2 linked regions of the Daphnia pulex genome follow. The protein of the gene in region 1 interacts with the protein of each later gene in a pairwise test. Links are inferred from orthologs where the notes say so. Each region holds a gene or a part of one and is shown in the gene's direction. Other genes may lie near its edges.

Region 1 (7,453 bases):
GCTGGCTGAAAAGCTGATAAAGTCACTAACACTTTCTGAGCTGGTTAAATCCAGTGGTCCCCTTTTGCTTAAATCTAGTGGAGGCGGGATGGGCTTGATTTTTCTGATGGTCTGCTTAATGCAATGATTGTTTATCACTGTGGGGGTTGTTTCATCGGGATCGCATCTTGATGCCCTCCCATCGACAGCCCCCTTATCGATTTGGGCTGCCATTTTCTATTGAAGTTTATGTTAAATAGTTTTACAAAAGAAGGACAAAACATATCCCATGCACATGCTATAAAGATAATTTACCTTGCTTGCCCTGATGTTTCTCTTCTGGACAAAGCTTCACACCCAATCGTGAGCAGCCATTGTTTATAATAAAAATGACATTAATGTTTGCCGCTAGATGGCATAGAGTCCAGTTAATAAATTTTACGCTATATTTTTTTTAAATTATATAAAATTAAACGATAGGATGGATATCAATCACCATATAAAAACAAATTACCGATAAGAGAATATAAAGGAGATATATTAGCTCAGTCCTGATTGACTTCTGCACTATTCCATATTGAGGAACTCTGTTTGAAAATGAATATGAAAATATCTCGGAAATTTGAATTTTGGTTTCTTTAGTAATTGACGAACAAATCTATACCTAATAACCTCAAAATCCCAGGATCAAAGTGACAAAAAAAAACAGTCCTCCAAACACAAACTGCAAAACAAACAAAAAACCAACTTTATATTGAGTAGGTCGTAAATACTTGTTGGACACTAATGTGTCTGCGCATGTCGACAAGTGTTCGATGCTAGTCTGGACATCCTCGTCGTTCTTTGTATATAATCTATGGGAACATGCGTCAATAGGAAGTTTGCTATTATTAATGTAATTTTTCACTGTTTAGGCTACGCATGTTCCCTTAATGATATTAAAATCGTGGGAGATGTCAGTATATGTTATTTTGCAATTGGAGACCGTCTTTTGTTCGCCGGGACTTGTGACTATTATAATAACTTTTTATAAATAAGAAGTTTCTCGCACCGGGGCGCACGTATTAACTAGCTGGCAAACGCTACCACTTTTTGACGAGGATGTTGTATTGATCTACCAATAGTTTTAGAATCGTTCAGCCGCCGATATCGGGATGAACGATTATTGTAGTTTATGTATAACATGACGTATCAGACGGAAACGGTTATAAGAAAAAATTATCACACATTTTTAACAATTTCAATCATTTATCGCAAGAAATTATCAATGATTTCGTTTTTAAACCATGCTTGGCTAAATTGAATATGGTCACCTTCCACTTGTAGGAAATGGAGTTTTCCTTCATCATCCATTGCACGTAAACCAAGGCGATCCTAAGAGATTTTTTTTTAAATGTAATTAATAGAAAATTGTAATGTAAGACACGATGTACTTCAAGGTAAAGTTGCGAATCTTGAAGAGTGTAAGTTGAGTTCAAATCATTCTCCTTATAAAAACCGAACCATTCTGCACGGATATATTAAAGGTGAAGAGTAACACACTGTTAAAAATGTCGCGATTCAATTGAGCTTTAAAGCGGCGCGTACCTGTTTCAATTGGTTGGACAACTGTATCTTTAGTAAACTTAACCATGACGAAGTTTTTCAGTTGCTTAAGGTTATTTTTGTATGTATCATTTACAGACTATTAAAAGAAATAGCAGATAGTTTCGATTTCAGTTAAAAATAGGACCAATGAAAAATTCTCATACCCTTTCGTTATTGATATCCGCAAGAAATACACTTGCTTTTTTGTATGCCTTTTCATCTAGTGGATCATGCCAATATTCAGCAGGAGTAACAAAATTTTGAATCCATCTTGATAAAATTAGTTCTGTTAAAATTATTTTTGTAAATGTATAGGTCTCAAGTAGACAAACTTTTTGTAAGCTCCATGATTAAGTAGCGAGCGAACATAGTCACAAAATTTGACATCATCTCCTAGACAACGGGGTAACCCATATACACCTTGGTGTTGAGAGCCTAAAGTGACTAGATTTACCATCGGAGGATCAGGGCAACGTTGAGCTACAGCTCTCCTATAATAAGCAGAAAATTAAAATGATTCAAAGATAATCTTAACTATTCAACAATAAAGATATAATTACAAGAACTGCCCCCCTTGAGATACCCCTAATCCATGATATCCTAATGCTAATTTAGGGTCATTTTTGATCAGATCACACACAAATTCAACTTGATCGTTTGCATTCTTGATGTATGCATTTTCAAAATCCTACATAATATTGGAATTGTTGGTGTAAATTTTTAATTGAGCTATACTGAATTAATACCTCACGAATGGTCTTGCCAATCTTCAGCGAAATTACATAGACCTCAGGAATTTGTTGTTGTATAAATTTTTGTAGGCCCCCAATACTCAATGGATTGCAGCAAACATCACCTACATACCCATTTCAAAATTTATCATGAAATTGTGAATGAAGTAGAAACCTTAAATGTGATTACCTAATCCGTGCCAGATCACAATTGGTAGTATTGATAAAACCATTTGACAATTTATTAATAAGAGGAAAACACACATTAAGGGAAGTGTGTACTTCATTCTTGATTCTTTACCCAAGGAGGACTACTCATACACTTACGGGGTCAAGCTAATAAGTTGGCTTGGAATTTAGACAAAGCAGTTACGTAATTGAATTACAACCATGCACGAGTTTCTCACGTTGACATTTGACATTGACATTTGTGTATTTGACATTTCTTGGTGCTGGGCTGGCTTCAAAATTTATTCTTTTTTCAAGGTTAGTGTTGACTATTTTCAACAGGTGGCCAGGTTGGTTCATAATCGATCTCAATAGAGGGCTATTCAAGCGATCTTAAAAAAAAAGAATGTTGCAGGAAAAACAACAAAATCGTAAAAAGGTTATTAAAATAATTTAAAGTCGCTTCAAAAAAACGTAGAACTGCGGGTCATCGAAAGGGTGACGGCAAAATAGTTCACGAGTCACCACCGTTTTGGAGTTTTCCCATTTTTCTACGACACAACTTCCGTGAAAACAAGAACCCATTTAGAACTTAGTAAAATCAGATTTCCATTTTACCTCAGATTACCTTTTACCAAAACAAACTGGTATATCTGAGCGCTTTTTTTCTTTATGAGCCGTATTTCGTCATTAGCCACATTTTAGTGGGGCTCGGATTGCTCCCATGTGCTTGCGATTATAATGGACTCAACGTTGAATATTTTCTTCCATAATAGACGGCGACGTCTTTTTTAGATTTTTTTCTTTGTCCAACTTCAACTTGACGCACCAATCGAGGAATTTACTTTTTTTTGTTAATTACCTATTTACCTACCGTCTACCCTACCGAAATAAAAGACCGTTTTTTTCTAGCCGGTAGATGGCGAGAAACGAAACAACTGACAGAAATTCAGCAAAATGTCAGATTTTAATCATAAACATGAAAAGGTTACTTTTTTGTTTTATATAGGCCTACTTAGTTCTTCTTTATATCATTTGATTTTATTTGTTTTAAATACTAATTTTAAAGGTTTGAATATTAAACTCAATTTCTTGTTACAAAATTCAAATTTCTTTGCTGTGACTGGATACTCACATATATGACTGGTTATATTGACATATTGTATCAAACAAATAATGGGTTTAATTAATGATTGGTAAAGGTGCTGACAGGACTAGTCTTTCTTCAAGATGCTGCTTCTAGAAGTTCTCAGCTTACTAATGGAATGGTCAATATTTTGACTTCATTTGATGAAAGGCTTGCGAGACTTGAAAAGACCATTTTACCAGTCTACAATGAGACAAAAAATTTGCAACAGAAACAAGAAAGTAAATTATTAATGAGATCTCATATAATATCAATATTTCTTGTATTTCTAAATTTACAAAATCTAAATTTCTTTTTAACTTTCTTCGTGTTTATAGACATTGATAAAACATTAGCCTCTTTGGATCATGTCATTAGCTATTACAGTGTCAGCAAGGAAGTTGAGCCTGTCATAAAAGAGAGCCCTTCAAGTCAGGGTCTAGAAATTTTTCTCCAATCCCTCGGTCGATTGCAAGAAGCTATGCATTTCTTTGAGAGAAATAATCCACAGAGTGTGGAGTTAGAAAATGTTGTAAGTTTCATTTTTATTTACAATCACCATACCTTACAAACTTAAAAAACAACTTTTGTATTAGATGAGCCTATTTGAAACTGGCAAAGATAATATTATCAGCGAATTTAAAGAACACCTAGCAAAACATAGTCAAACCATTCCTGCTACAGCACTTTTGGAAGCTCTAGCAAATGATGAAGGTGAACCCCATTTATCTATAACTACCTGAAAATTCAATGTAATGTTCCATTTTCATTCCAGAGGAGATAAGTATAAATCACTTCTCTGCAGATGTGAAAGACAATTTGATGCAAATAGCTGATTGGCTTGTAACTCACAATGAAGATGACTTCATGAATGTAACTTGTAATCATCAATCATTAATCCACGACATATTAAATAAACTTTGTCACTGATTTACTTTCCAGGTTTACGCTCGGTTTCGCGCAAATACTGTGCAGAAAACCCTTCTTGGCCTTCGTGATCATTTGAGAAGTTCATCTACTGGGGTATCGAGTCACCAAGGCGTGAGTCCCGTAGCTGCCATGTCGGGAACGGCTACATTGCTGGTAATCTAATATTTATTGTGACTACTATTAGGCAATATATAATGAACTTCTTTTATAATTTTCAGGCAAAATCAGGTGTCAAAGCCAGTTATGACACTCCAAGTAGAAAGACATCTAAGAAACTACAGCAAATGCTTGAGCGCAAGGCCAACCAAATGCTTTTGAAAGCTTCTCAAACGTTGGAAAGCTCTACAGGACTGGCTTTGGGCCCCAGGAGAAGCGCTGCGGGTGAGAAGACGAAATTAAATTTATTTTACTTTTTCCCAATTATCATTATTGTTTCTTCTTCAGACAGTATAAAAGAAGATGCTGTCGAAGAACACGAAATCGAATCGTTCTTAACCGAATTCACGGCACTTTTGCGACTACTGCAGAGTGAACTGAGACTTATGTTGGGTATTGTCCCTTTGCCGCATCAAAAAGCTGTTCTGTCTATCATTCTCAGAGACGCATTGGAAATGATCTGTCACGATGCCGAGGTTGGAAATATTCTTGATTCAATTTCATCGGTTAGTCATTCTTGTACTTTACTAATTTTTAGAGCTTAAGCGGCCGAGCGCGCCGAAGTGTTTCTCGTCAAGAGTTCGGTCCCGTTTTGCTTCTTTTTCCTGCCTTACGCCATTTAGTGTGTTTTAAAGGCGACTGTGATAAATTGCTGGAAGGATGCGATTCTTCTGTTCGCACACGATTTTACGCAATGGTTAATAATCTCCATACAACCGTAAGCTAATAACTCACCATAATTTAGATTCGTTTTTATCACTGTGTTATTTTGTGATTGATTAGTGCGGCAAGGCCCTTGAAGACTTTGCAGAATCTGTGCGTTCTGAATCTGCAGCTCCATTGCCTAGAGATGGCACGGTCTATGAAATGACGAGCAATGTCGTTCTTTTTCTCGGCCAGTTGACTGATTTGTCTGACACAGTCGGTCCGCTTCTCGCCCAAGATCAAAGTTATTCCAACGCATTGGTACACACTCAACCCTGGCCGAAACCTCAGAGAAACAAAGCTTTACTAGGACTTTATATCAGTAATTCATTTTTCTTGTTCAGGTTTAACTTAAAATCTGGTTTGATTAACAAATTACCCTTTTTTTTTTAGAAAAAGTGTTGGTTCAACTAAATTTAACTTTAGTTACTAAAAGCGATGCGTACAGCGATTCTTCTTTGCGCTATATTTTTCGATTAAATAACAGCCACTATTTGTTAAGCGCACTACAGCGTAGTGGCCTACTAGACCTGTTGAAGGTAAAGCACAAAATTGTAGTCAAAGTAAATGTAATCACATATTTTGGTGTTTTTAGGTTGTGGAACCAGAATGCGAGCCGATTTACCGAGAAATGATCAACGAACAGAAGAGGCTTTATTCTCAAAGGTATTGATACTTTGTTCCTTTCCTTTGAATTTTTTGTTGAACTCACCGTTACTATTCAATTAATTAAATAACCTACAGTTGGAACAAGGTCTTAGCCCCAATATGGAATTCGGAAGATGTTCCAGCATCTGTACTTCTTTCCGGCAGGTTACGGGAAAAGGATAAAGCTTTAATTAAAGAAAAGTTCTCGGTAGGTCTTCAAAAGTTAAAATATAAGCTTTACATGTGTTAAAATGTTGTTTTTTGATCCGATAAATCTTTTAGACCCTTAACAAGGAGTTTGAAGAATTGTCCAGAGAGCAACGAGGTTATTCAGTGCCAGACGTTGAGCTTCGCGAGAGTCTGAAGCGTGATAACAAAGAGTACATCCTGCCGAAGTATCAGGCTTTCTATGACAAGTACAGCAACGCGCAGTTCAGCAAACACAGTGAAAAATACATCAAGTACTCACCGGCCCAAATTTCATCGGTAATCGATACATTTTTCGACGTTGCTGCATGATGATCAAAACGATCAAGGTTAACAAAAAATCATCCTGATTGTATTTTCAACACCAAATTTAAATTTATTAAAAAATGAAATTACAATAGCGACAAGTCTGAATTCTATTAAAACAAAGAGGAAATTATATCCTTCAGCGATGACTAAACAGCATGTACACACTTGTACAGGCACATTCCATTCCATTTCACAAATAAACAAAACCTGCTAAACGTTCAACTTTGACGTGTAGAACAGGAGACACATGAGAAAAATAAAACGGCTCTACCTTGTTTTGTGCATAATACTGATGACAGCTGTTGTCTTAGAAACGTAGCACCGCTAGATTAAACTGAGCCACTCGAAGGACGTTTAAACGCATCAAACAAATTCTAGAAAACAGATAGGACGCAACACTTGTCATCAGAAAATTCAATTTTGTCACTCCTTCACACCCGAGGACTAGGATACTATTTAGGGTCTTGGTTGGTAAGCCTTCGCGTTCTCGTCAAGCCTGTTTTGAGCACGTTTTACCATGTTCATCCCAATGCGCAACCTACAATCGTTATTTAAAAAAACAAAACGTTACAAAACAAGTATACAATAACTGAATTGCGATATTACCTGACAGTCACGGGAACAGTAGAATGTGGTTTGACACCCGCTGCACTTTTGCTGAGCTTCTTGTCCACACTTCAGGCAAGTGTAAAGCGGGTGTTGCTGTGGCTGCGGAACATCTCGTGAGAGTCGACGAATGGCAGGCTGTCTAGCAATGTCCGACTGCTGGCCAGGAAAATGTCTTTGCGCTTGAGCATTAATTGGCGGCGAAGACATGGGCATATGGCGTTGCTGCTGCATGATTTGGTGTTGTGCGTTTTGCAAGGAATGGGCTTGTGAATGTGGAACTTGCTGTTGTTGCATTCCG
Region 2 (7,293 bases), on another chromosome or scaffold:
TGCTGATTTATTTCTTGATTTTGTTTCTTCTGCAAGAGCTCAGAGTCATGAGCAAAGACACAGTTTGACCCAAATCTGCACCTCCCTTTCCTATAGTTCCAGCAAATTTTTCTCCCATTGATTTCTTTGATGTCTTCAAGTTTGGGGGTGAATTTTACATGCTTTTCAAGTGTGCCCTTTTCTGCTTCCTCTGCTTCTTTGTATGGATTTGCAAACACAGATTTTCCTGACACTGAAGTCTCTGAACTGCGAAAAGGGTTTTTCAAGTTCTTTAAATGTTCATCTTGCAACGAAAAGTTATCTGCTTGATCGTTTTCTTCACTAAAAAATGAAATATTTAGAAATTTAAAAAATTCATAGAGAAATTTGTCATACCCACTACTACTATCATCAAAAACCTGAAAAAAATTATTTTTGATTTTTGATTTCACAGGATCTTCAGCAAGTTCTGTTTGTGTTGATTCTTTTGTTTCCGTTCCAGAACTTTCCGAGCTATCCGATCCATAACCCACCAACAAATTTAACGAAGTCATCTAATTTTTTATCGTAGAAGCTTAACGAGTGCTTAATTTAAACTAAAGAAATGGTGAATTATTTAAAATTTTAGTAGATCTCTTAACTGACTTGCAGAACAATGTGTAGTTGTGTTGTGTACTGTACATTGTTGCAGACGACATTACCCAAAACACAAGAGAAGTCATAGGGTTACCCAGCCCTCTGTTGAAAAAGTTTAGAGACAGGTTTTTTTTTTCAAAGATAAGTGATCAGTAGTTTATTAAATATCAAAGTGTAAATCGTGATTGTTATTAGTATAGATCAGTACCAGCAAAATTGCAATTCAATCAACGTGTAATCGGAAGTTTGAAAGTGCATACTATCTCGGATTTTTTTAAAGAAACTTGCACACAAGGATTTAAGAACTAATTAACTACAGTTTTATTCGAACGCATCGAAAAGTCATGAATAGCTCAGGTTCAGAACGTAATGTTAGGGCGGGATTCAAAGAGAAACGTCGAAACGATACAGACAAGAACACACCGAATGCACGACAGATTGGCCATCATTTAAATGTTTGTCCAGCCATAGGGCTAAGCAATGTGCAACTTAAAACACACAAAAAAAAAACACTGATGATTTTCTCAAACGCCTCCTCGGCGATATGGGTGGTATTGAGATTGCGACGGCTGGTGGTGGTGACCACCTCCTCGTTGAGGACCCGGTCCTCCAGGGCCAGCAGCTCCGGCTCCTGCTCCAGGAACACCAAGACCATTACCGGCAGGTGCAACGCCAGGTGGTGGGACTCTTTCTGGATTTCCATAGCCTAAAAAAATAACCATAATTATCATAAAGATCCTTTTTTGTAAAAACTAAATTAACAATCACCTTGTCCACCTCCATATCCTTGAGCGTTAGCTTCTTGGGCGTATCCTCCTCTGTATCCTTGGTTAACGTCCTTGGATAATAATAAAAAAAAAAACGATTGAATTCCTAAAAAAATGTAACATTTGACTCGCACAATTAACTTACTGTTCCATAGCCATTAGTTCCGTATCCAGCACCGTACTGAGCAGGTTCAGCTTTTACTCCAGGAACTCCAGGTCCAGTAGGGGCAGCTGCGCCCGGAGGACCACCATTAGTTGGGTTAGGACCTCTACCATACATATCGCCGTTGGGACCTGGGCCACCAGGTCCACCTCCTTGTGGGCCCGGTCCTCCCCAATTCCAGTTGTTGTATCCACCTTGTTGAGGTCCACCTTGAGGGCCTATATAGTTTAACACGTTCTTATTTTCATTCATCTACGCGGTATCAAAGACAATGTGATTCATGGAAAAACTTCTATTTAGAAAATCTCAGCCAATTTATCTTCGAAATATATCCTGGAGAAGAAACAATCACTTTATCAGCATACACTTTATTACCATAGCCATAATTAGCTCCTGGTCCTCCTCCATATCCTCCCCACTGCCCTTGTGGGCCCCATCCTTGATATCCACCTTGGGGTCCATATCCATATCCACCTTGATTGGCAGGTCCACCCCATCCTTGATAACCACCACCCATGGGAGGGCCCATCGGTCCACCCATTGGGCCACCCATAGGACCCATACCCTAAATGGCAAAAACGCAAAAAAAAAAAAAGAAAAAAGAAAAACACAAATCGATTATTTAAAATCTGTTTGTAACTTAAGTTTGAGCAAGAAAGCTTAGTGACTTACCCCATGCATTCCCATTCCCGGACCTTCCCATCCACCATTGTGTCCTCCACGTCTCATTCCACCAGATGATCCTCGAGTATCACGGGGCTCTGCTTTCTTGATTTCAACCTATGGTCCAAAAGAAATCTTTATTCCTTGTTTGATGACTAATGTTAATTCTAACATTAGAACGAATTATTATGCATTCATATTTTTTTAAAACAATAAAGAGAGCTCACCACCGACCTTAACTTGTTACATTATTGATAAGATTATCTATTGTTTTCTATGAGTTAATTACAATTACTATTTAGAAGACCAATAGATTGGTACAAAGACCAGCTTAACTCGACGGTTAGATACATTTTCTAAATAAACTTTAAAAATATATAAGATCAAGTGTCGGCGAGGTTTAAACAATGGTGAGCCCTGATTATTCATACTTCCGATTGCGTTTTTCACAAAGAGTAAGGGAGAGGGACATTGGTTGTTGTTTTGATGATAGAATACCTGCTTTCCATTGATTGAAACATAGTGTTCACCAGTGCAGCGATCCACCGACTCCTCCGATTCAAAGGTCAAAAAGCCAAAGCCTGTCCCAAGGTTTTCCAAATTGCTTATTACACTTTTTTTATACCACTTTTCTTTACATCTTTCTTTGATCTCATTAATAATCATTAGAAGAAATCTTGGGACAGGCCTGACTAAATTATTTTTCAACCATAACTTTTGACTGTAGATCTGATGAGATTGATACCGGATTCTAATACTTGAAGAGAAATAAATCTAATACATCGTTAAAAACTAGAGTTGTGATTATGAAAGAAATATTGACTCAACCCAATGGGTATGCCAATATTTAGTCAGATGTAAAACTTGTAAATCCACCCTCCCAAGTTCCTTAATGGCATATTATCTACTGTAATTCGCGGAAACTCTTTCACATGAGCAGTAGAAGTAAACGTGGATAGGAACTTAGCCATTTGCTTACCTATAGGAATAAAATAACCACACTATTAAAGTTAGCAAAGTTATCAAAAAAGGAATCCATCGAATCTTCGGAATATAACCACTTACACTTGCGTCATACGTTATGTAAGGACGTTCATAGTTTATTTACGCTGTTTTAATTAACTTTAATACCCACTAATTGAGGAAAGTGACTCACCTCGAGATTTTTTCTTTTCTTGGTCGTACATGATAACGACTTCAGAGACCTTTCCGTACTGCGAGAAGAAGTTACGAAGATCTGTTTCTGTCAAGTTTGATGGAAGCCCACCTAAAAATACTTTGTAACCATTTCCTGTACCCATACTCCGGCGAGGAGCGCGTACCATTTCGGCACGTGGATTACAAGGTTTGGGGTCAATCTGCATAAACATAAAAATATGAGATCATAAAAAACAACCAAAAATGTAGAAAGAAATCAAATATATATCTCAAGTTGAGATATAAACTTCAATTCCTTCCACTTCTATGTAGCAATACCGCGAAAGGAGATAAAATTATGTTAAACATTCTATCACCGCTCAGGTAGTGCAAATAAGAGTATGAAGAAAATATAAAAACTTACTGTGCGATTATCGAGTATATGGGGTGTGTTTTGTAGTACTAAACCAACATTGTTAGGATCAGCAAATGTAATGAACCCAAACCCTCTCGATCTACCAGTTTCTGGGTTCTTCATTACCACACAGTCAACAACTTCACCATACTGACTGAAATATCGAAGCAAATTATCGCGCGTCGTTTCCCAGCTTAAACCTCCGATGAACATTTTACTAAAAAAACAAGATTCGTACCAAAAAATAGTAAATGGACGCAAATCATGAAAAGCTTAGTGTACGGCGTCATGGATTTACATTCTCCCATGAACTTCACATGTCATATTATAAATGGAAAAAATTTCTTACCCTTGTTCATTCGAATTATCACCACCTTCTTTTCCAGGGAATTTTTGTTGAGAGGCCATTGTTCAGTTTAAATTGAATATAACAGTAAACGAATCTTTCAAATTTTCGAGGAGTGTTCGCACTGCGCTTGGGTTGGCTTCTTCAGTTGAGAAATGGGGGAAATGGCTGGCCCGGCATTTCAGTCAGTTTGCACCGTTGCCTGGACACTTTTTCTAGTTGAAAACTTGAAACTTAAATTATGAAATTATTACTTATAAAAAACTATGCTGTTTCTTTTACACATTCCAATAAAAAAATTTCTGAGTCTTAAAAAAATGATTGGATTTTGAAAAGAAAAGAAAACTCGCACTGAGGAATGAAGCGCTTTATTGAATAGTGTAGTCTAGCAACTGTTTAGCCCTAAGCGAAGCGAACATATGCATCTTGGCTTGTCGCACATTTTTGTGAAAAGTATATAAAAAAAGGTTACACGCTTCATCATGGCCCTCTGTTGTTCTCGTAATATTACATTTTCATTATAAATATCAATTTAAAACCAATCCATTCTTCTGAGAAATTTGATATTTAATGTCTTATATCTCTTGCTTATATAGTGTCGAACGAAGTTCCCGAACATCCTGTGGTCTCACCGGTGTCAGGATCTGTGTTTGAACGTCGGCTGATTGAAAAGTACATTGCTGATAACGGGGTAGATCCCATCAATGGGAAAGAAATAACTGTAGATCAACTTATTGAAATCAAAAGTAAGAAATTTTTTATCAAAGTTCCACAATGAATTTACATGTAATTGAAATTTTGTTTCTAGCCCCCCCAATTGTTAAGCCTAAAGTGCCATCTGCAACAAGCATTCCCGCCGTGCTTAAGTCTTTACAAGATGAATGGGATGCTGTCATGTTAAATTCCTTTACTTTGAGGCAACAATTACAAACTGCTCGACAAGAATTGAGGTATTGACCAACTTAATTACACATGGAATTATTGTGCAAACATTCTCTTTCTATTTGTAGTCATGCTCTCTACCAACATGATGCTGCTTGTCGTGTTATTGCACGCCTCCACAAGGAAGTGTCTACAGCACGGGAAGCACTTGCAACTCTTAAGCCCCAGACTGGCTATGCTGCTGTATCTACACCATCTGTTGCTGCCTCAGTAAGAAAGCATTATGATATTTATTTGTATGTTATTTATGATAAATTTACTGATTTGATGTAAGGCTGAAGCGGGTGGTGTGGCAGCACAACCGATCGAGGCAGCTGGATTAACTCCGGAAATCATATCACAATTACAAGATAAAGCCACTGTTCTTACTCAAGAACGAAAACGTAGAGGCAAAACCATGCCCGAAGGCTTAGCTACAGCAGAAGCTTTGAAGGGATATAAAACTTTGGCATCTCATCCGGTAATGACATATAATTTTGAAATGTTATCCCATCTTCATGGATTGATTACATATAGGCTTTGCACAGTGCAAGTATGCCCGGAATTTTGACCATGGACGTTCACGCCGCCGATACTTCTCATATTTTGACTGGAGGTAACGATCGATGCGCTACAGTTTTTAACAAGGACACTGAGCAGGTTGTTGCTGTTCTCAAGGGACATACAAAAAAAGTTACCAAGGTGCTTTATCATCCAGAAGAGGTAATTTCATGTTTTCTTTTAATTTTCTCTTGATTTACTTTGTTATATGATACTAATATACCCCTTGAATCTGTTATAGGAAGTCGCGATAACAGCATCTCCTGATGCGACGATTCGTGTTTGGAATATAACCGGCTCCTCACAATCTGCCATCATCCGTGCTCATGATGGCCCTGTCACAGGCTTGTCGCTCCACGCAACCGGAGAATATGTTTTGTCGACGTCACTGGATCAACACTGGGCATTTTCAGACATTCGCGTTGGGCGGTTGTTGACAAAGGTTGCCGACACAGACGGAAATCCGCTTACGACAGCCCAGTTCCATCCAGATGGTCTCATTTTCGGCACTGGAACACAAGATTCACAGATCAAAATTTGGGATTTAAAAGAACAATCTAACGTGGCCAACTTTCCAGGTTTGGCTCTTTTAAAATAATCTTGTGATAAACATTAGCTTTACTATTACCATTTTTACAATTACAGGTCATTCCGGTCCTATTGCGGCTTTGTCATTTTCAGAAAATGGTTACTATTTGGCTACAGCGGCAGAAGACTCTTGCGTCAAATTGTGGGATTTACGGAAATTGAAGAATTTTAAAACAATTCAGCTCGACGAAGGATACGAAGTTAAGGACTTGTGCTTCGATCAAAGCGGCACCTACCTTGCTGTGGCTGGTACCGACGTGCGTGTTTATCTCTGCAAGCAATGGGAAACTCTTAAGACTTTTAACGACCATACAGCATTGGCTATGGGAGTCCGTTTCGGCAACCATGCGCAGTCGATAGCGTCTGTGAGTATGGATCGTACGCTGAAAATTTATGGCATCGAGTGATTCACTGTATTCAATGTTGAGAGGGGATTTTTAAATGAACATTTTTCGTCTTATCCTTTTTTTTGCTGTAAGGTGTGCAAACCGCATCGAACTCTCGCCCTCACAAAAATACACGCGTTTCATTTTTCCCATCAAAAACAATTCTACGAGTGTATATCGATAGTTAAGTTTCCCGCGTTACTATCGATACATTAAATAAAACAAAAAGCTTCGAAATTTTGTCACTAGTGGCGTGGCAGTTCGCTTGGCATTTTCGCTTTCTTGAAGCATATCCCAATGGCGGCTTAGGCAATCGATGCATCGGCCGCTCCTTCGTACAGGGGTTTATGTATTTGGCCTAAAATGCCGGTCGACTCTTGTAAACAAGGAATAGTGAGATCATACTACGTTAATTTCAAATTTCATAGTTCAAATTCTTCATATTGGATTGCTATCCTGAATCAAGATTTTTCCAGATAAAGTACGAGGTAAGTCGCCCAAAAACAGTTCCTTCAACCGTCGCTTCTATCAAGTTGCATTGTTGCATCTTTTGTAATTGGAAGCGTGGTTTTGTTGAATGAATAAAATTTTCTGCCCTTCAAAAAATTTGTCTTCTTTAATTTGACGCATTTTTTTTTCTCCCTAAAGAGTTGACACAACTACTTTAATTAGCTTACACATTAATCAGAACTGTTTTATGATGATTCATTTATTTGACAACTAGAACATGC

What was found.
Region 2: the proteins of exocyst complex component 7-like (region 1) and pre-mRNA-processing factor 19-like interact in a two-hybrid assay, tested with the Homo sapiens proteins (2 studies listed by BioGRID and IntAct, with this or other methods). The link is inferred for Daphnia pulex from reciprocal best matches to the Homo sapiens genes EXOC7 and PRPF19.

Annotation. Positions count from the first base shown.
Region 1 is NC_060020.1:3,978,893-3,986,345, reverse strand, and holds exocyst complex component 7-like, read left to right. Parts: upstream 1-3,320; 5' UTR 3,321-3,422; coding exon 3,423-3,452; intron 3,453-3,588; exon of another isoform or gene 3,589-3,611; intron 3,612-3,667; coding exon 3,668-3,833; intron 3,834-3,929; coding exon 3,930-4,123; intron 4,124-4,187; coding exon 4,188-4,305; intron 4,306-4,366; coding exon 4,367-4,464; intron 4,465-4,533; coding exon 4,534-4,674; intron 4,675-4,739; coding exon 4,740-4,902; intron 4,903-4,965; coding exon 4,966-5,153; intron 5,154-5,215; coding exon 5,216-5,395; intron 5,396-5,460; coding exon 5,461-5,704; intron 5,705-5,775; coding exon 5,776-5,921; intron 5,922-5,977; coding exon 5,978-6,048; intron 6,049-6,126; coding exon 6,127-6,238; intron 6,239-6,312; coding exon 6,313-6,549; 3' UTR 6,550-6,635; downstream 6,636-7,453. Other genes in the region: transcription factor SOX-13-like, read right to left, coding at 1-213; palmitoyl-protein thioesterase 1-like, read right to left, coding at 1,228-1,353, 1,413-1,486, 1,567-1,663, 1,731-1,836, 1,899-2,057, 2,127-2,254, 2,313-2,422, 2,488-2,584; uncharacterized protein LOC124192964, read right to left, coding at 7,037-7,084, 7,153-7,453. UniProt on the Homo sapiens protein: Component of the exocyst complex involved in the docking of exocytic vesicles with fusion sites on the plasma membrane.
Region 2 is NC_060022.1:3,390,975-3,398,267, forward strand, and holds pre-mRNA-processing factor 19-like, read left to right. Parts: upstream 1-4,475; 5' UTR 4,476-4,588; coding exon 4,589-4,607; intron 4,608-4,702; coding exon 4,703-4,852; intron 4,853-4,914; coding exon 4,915-5,056; intron 5,057-5,116; coding exon 5,117-5,258; intron 5,259-5,322; coding exon 5,323-5,508; intron 5,509-5,564; coding exon 5,565-5,750; intron 5,751-5,829; coding exon 5,830-6,166; intron 6,167-6,233; coding exon 6,234-6,583; 3' UTR 6,584-6,721; downstream 6,722-7,293. Other genes in the region: uncharacterized protein LOC124195731, read right to left, coding at 1-321, 376-533; heterogeneous nuclear ribonucleoprotein 27C-like, read right to left, coding at 1,140-1,321, 1,384-1,453, 1,528-1,763, 1,921-2,110, 2,218-2,325, 2,707-2,789, 3,365-3,566, 3,770-3,977 and 1 more. UniProt on the Homo sapiens protein: Ubiquitin-protein ligase which is a core component of several complexes mainly involved pre-mRNA splicing and DNA repair. Required for pre-mRNA splicing as component of the spliceosome.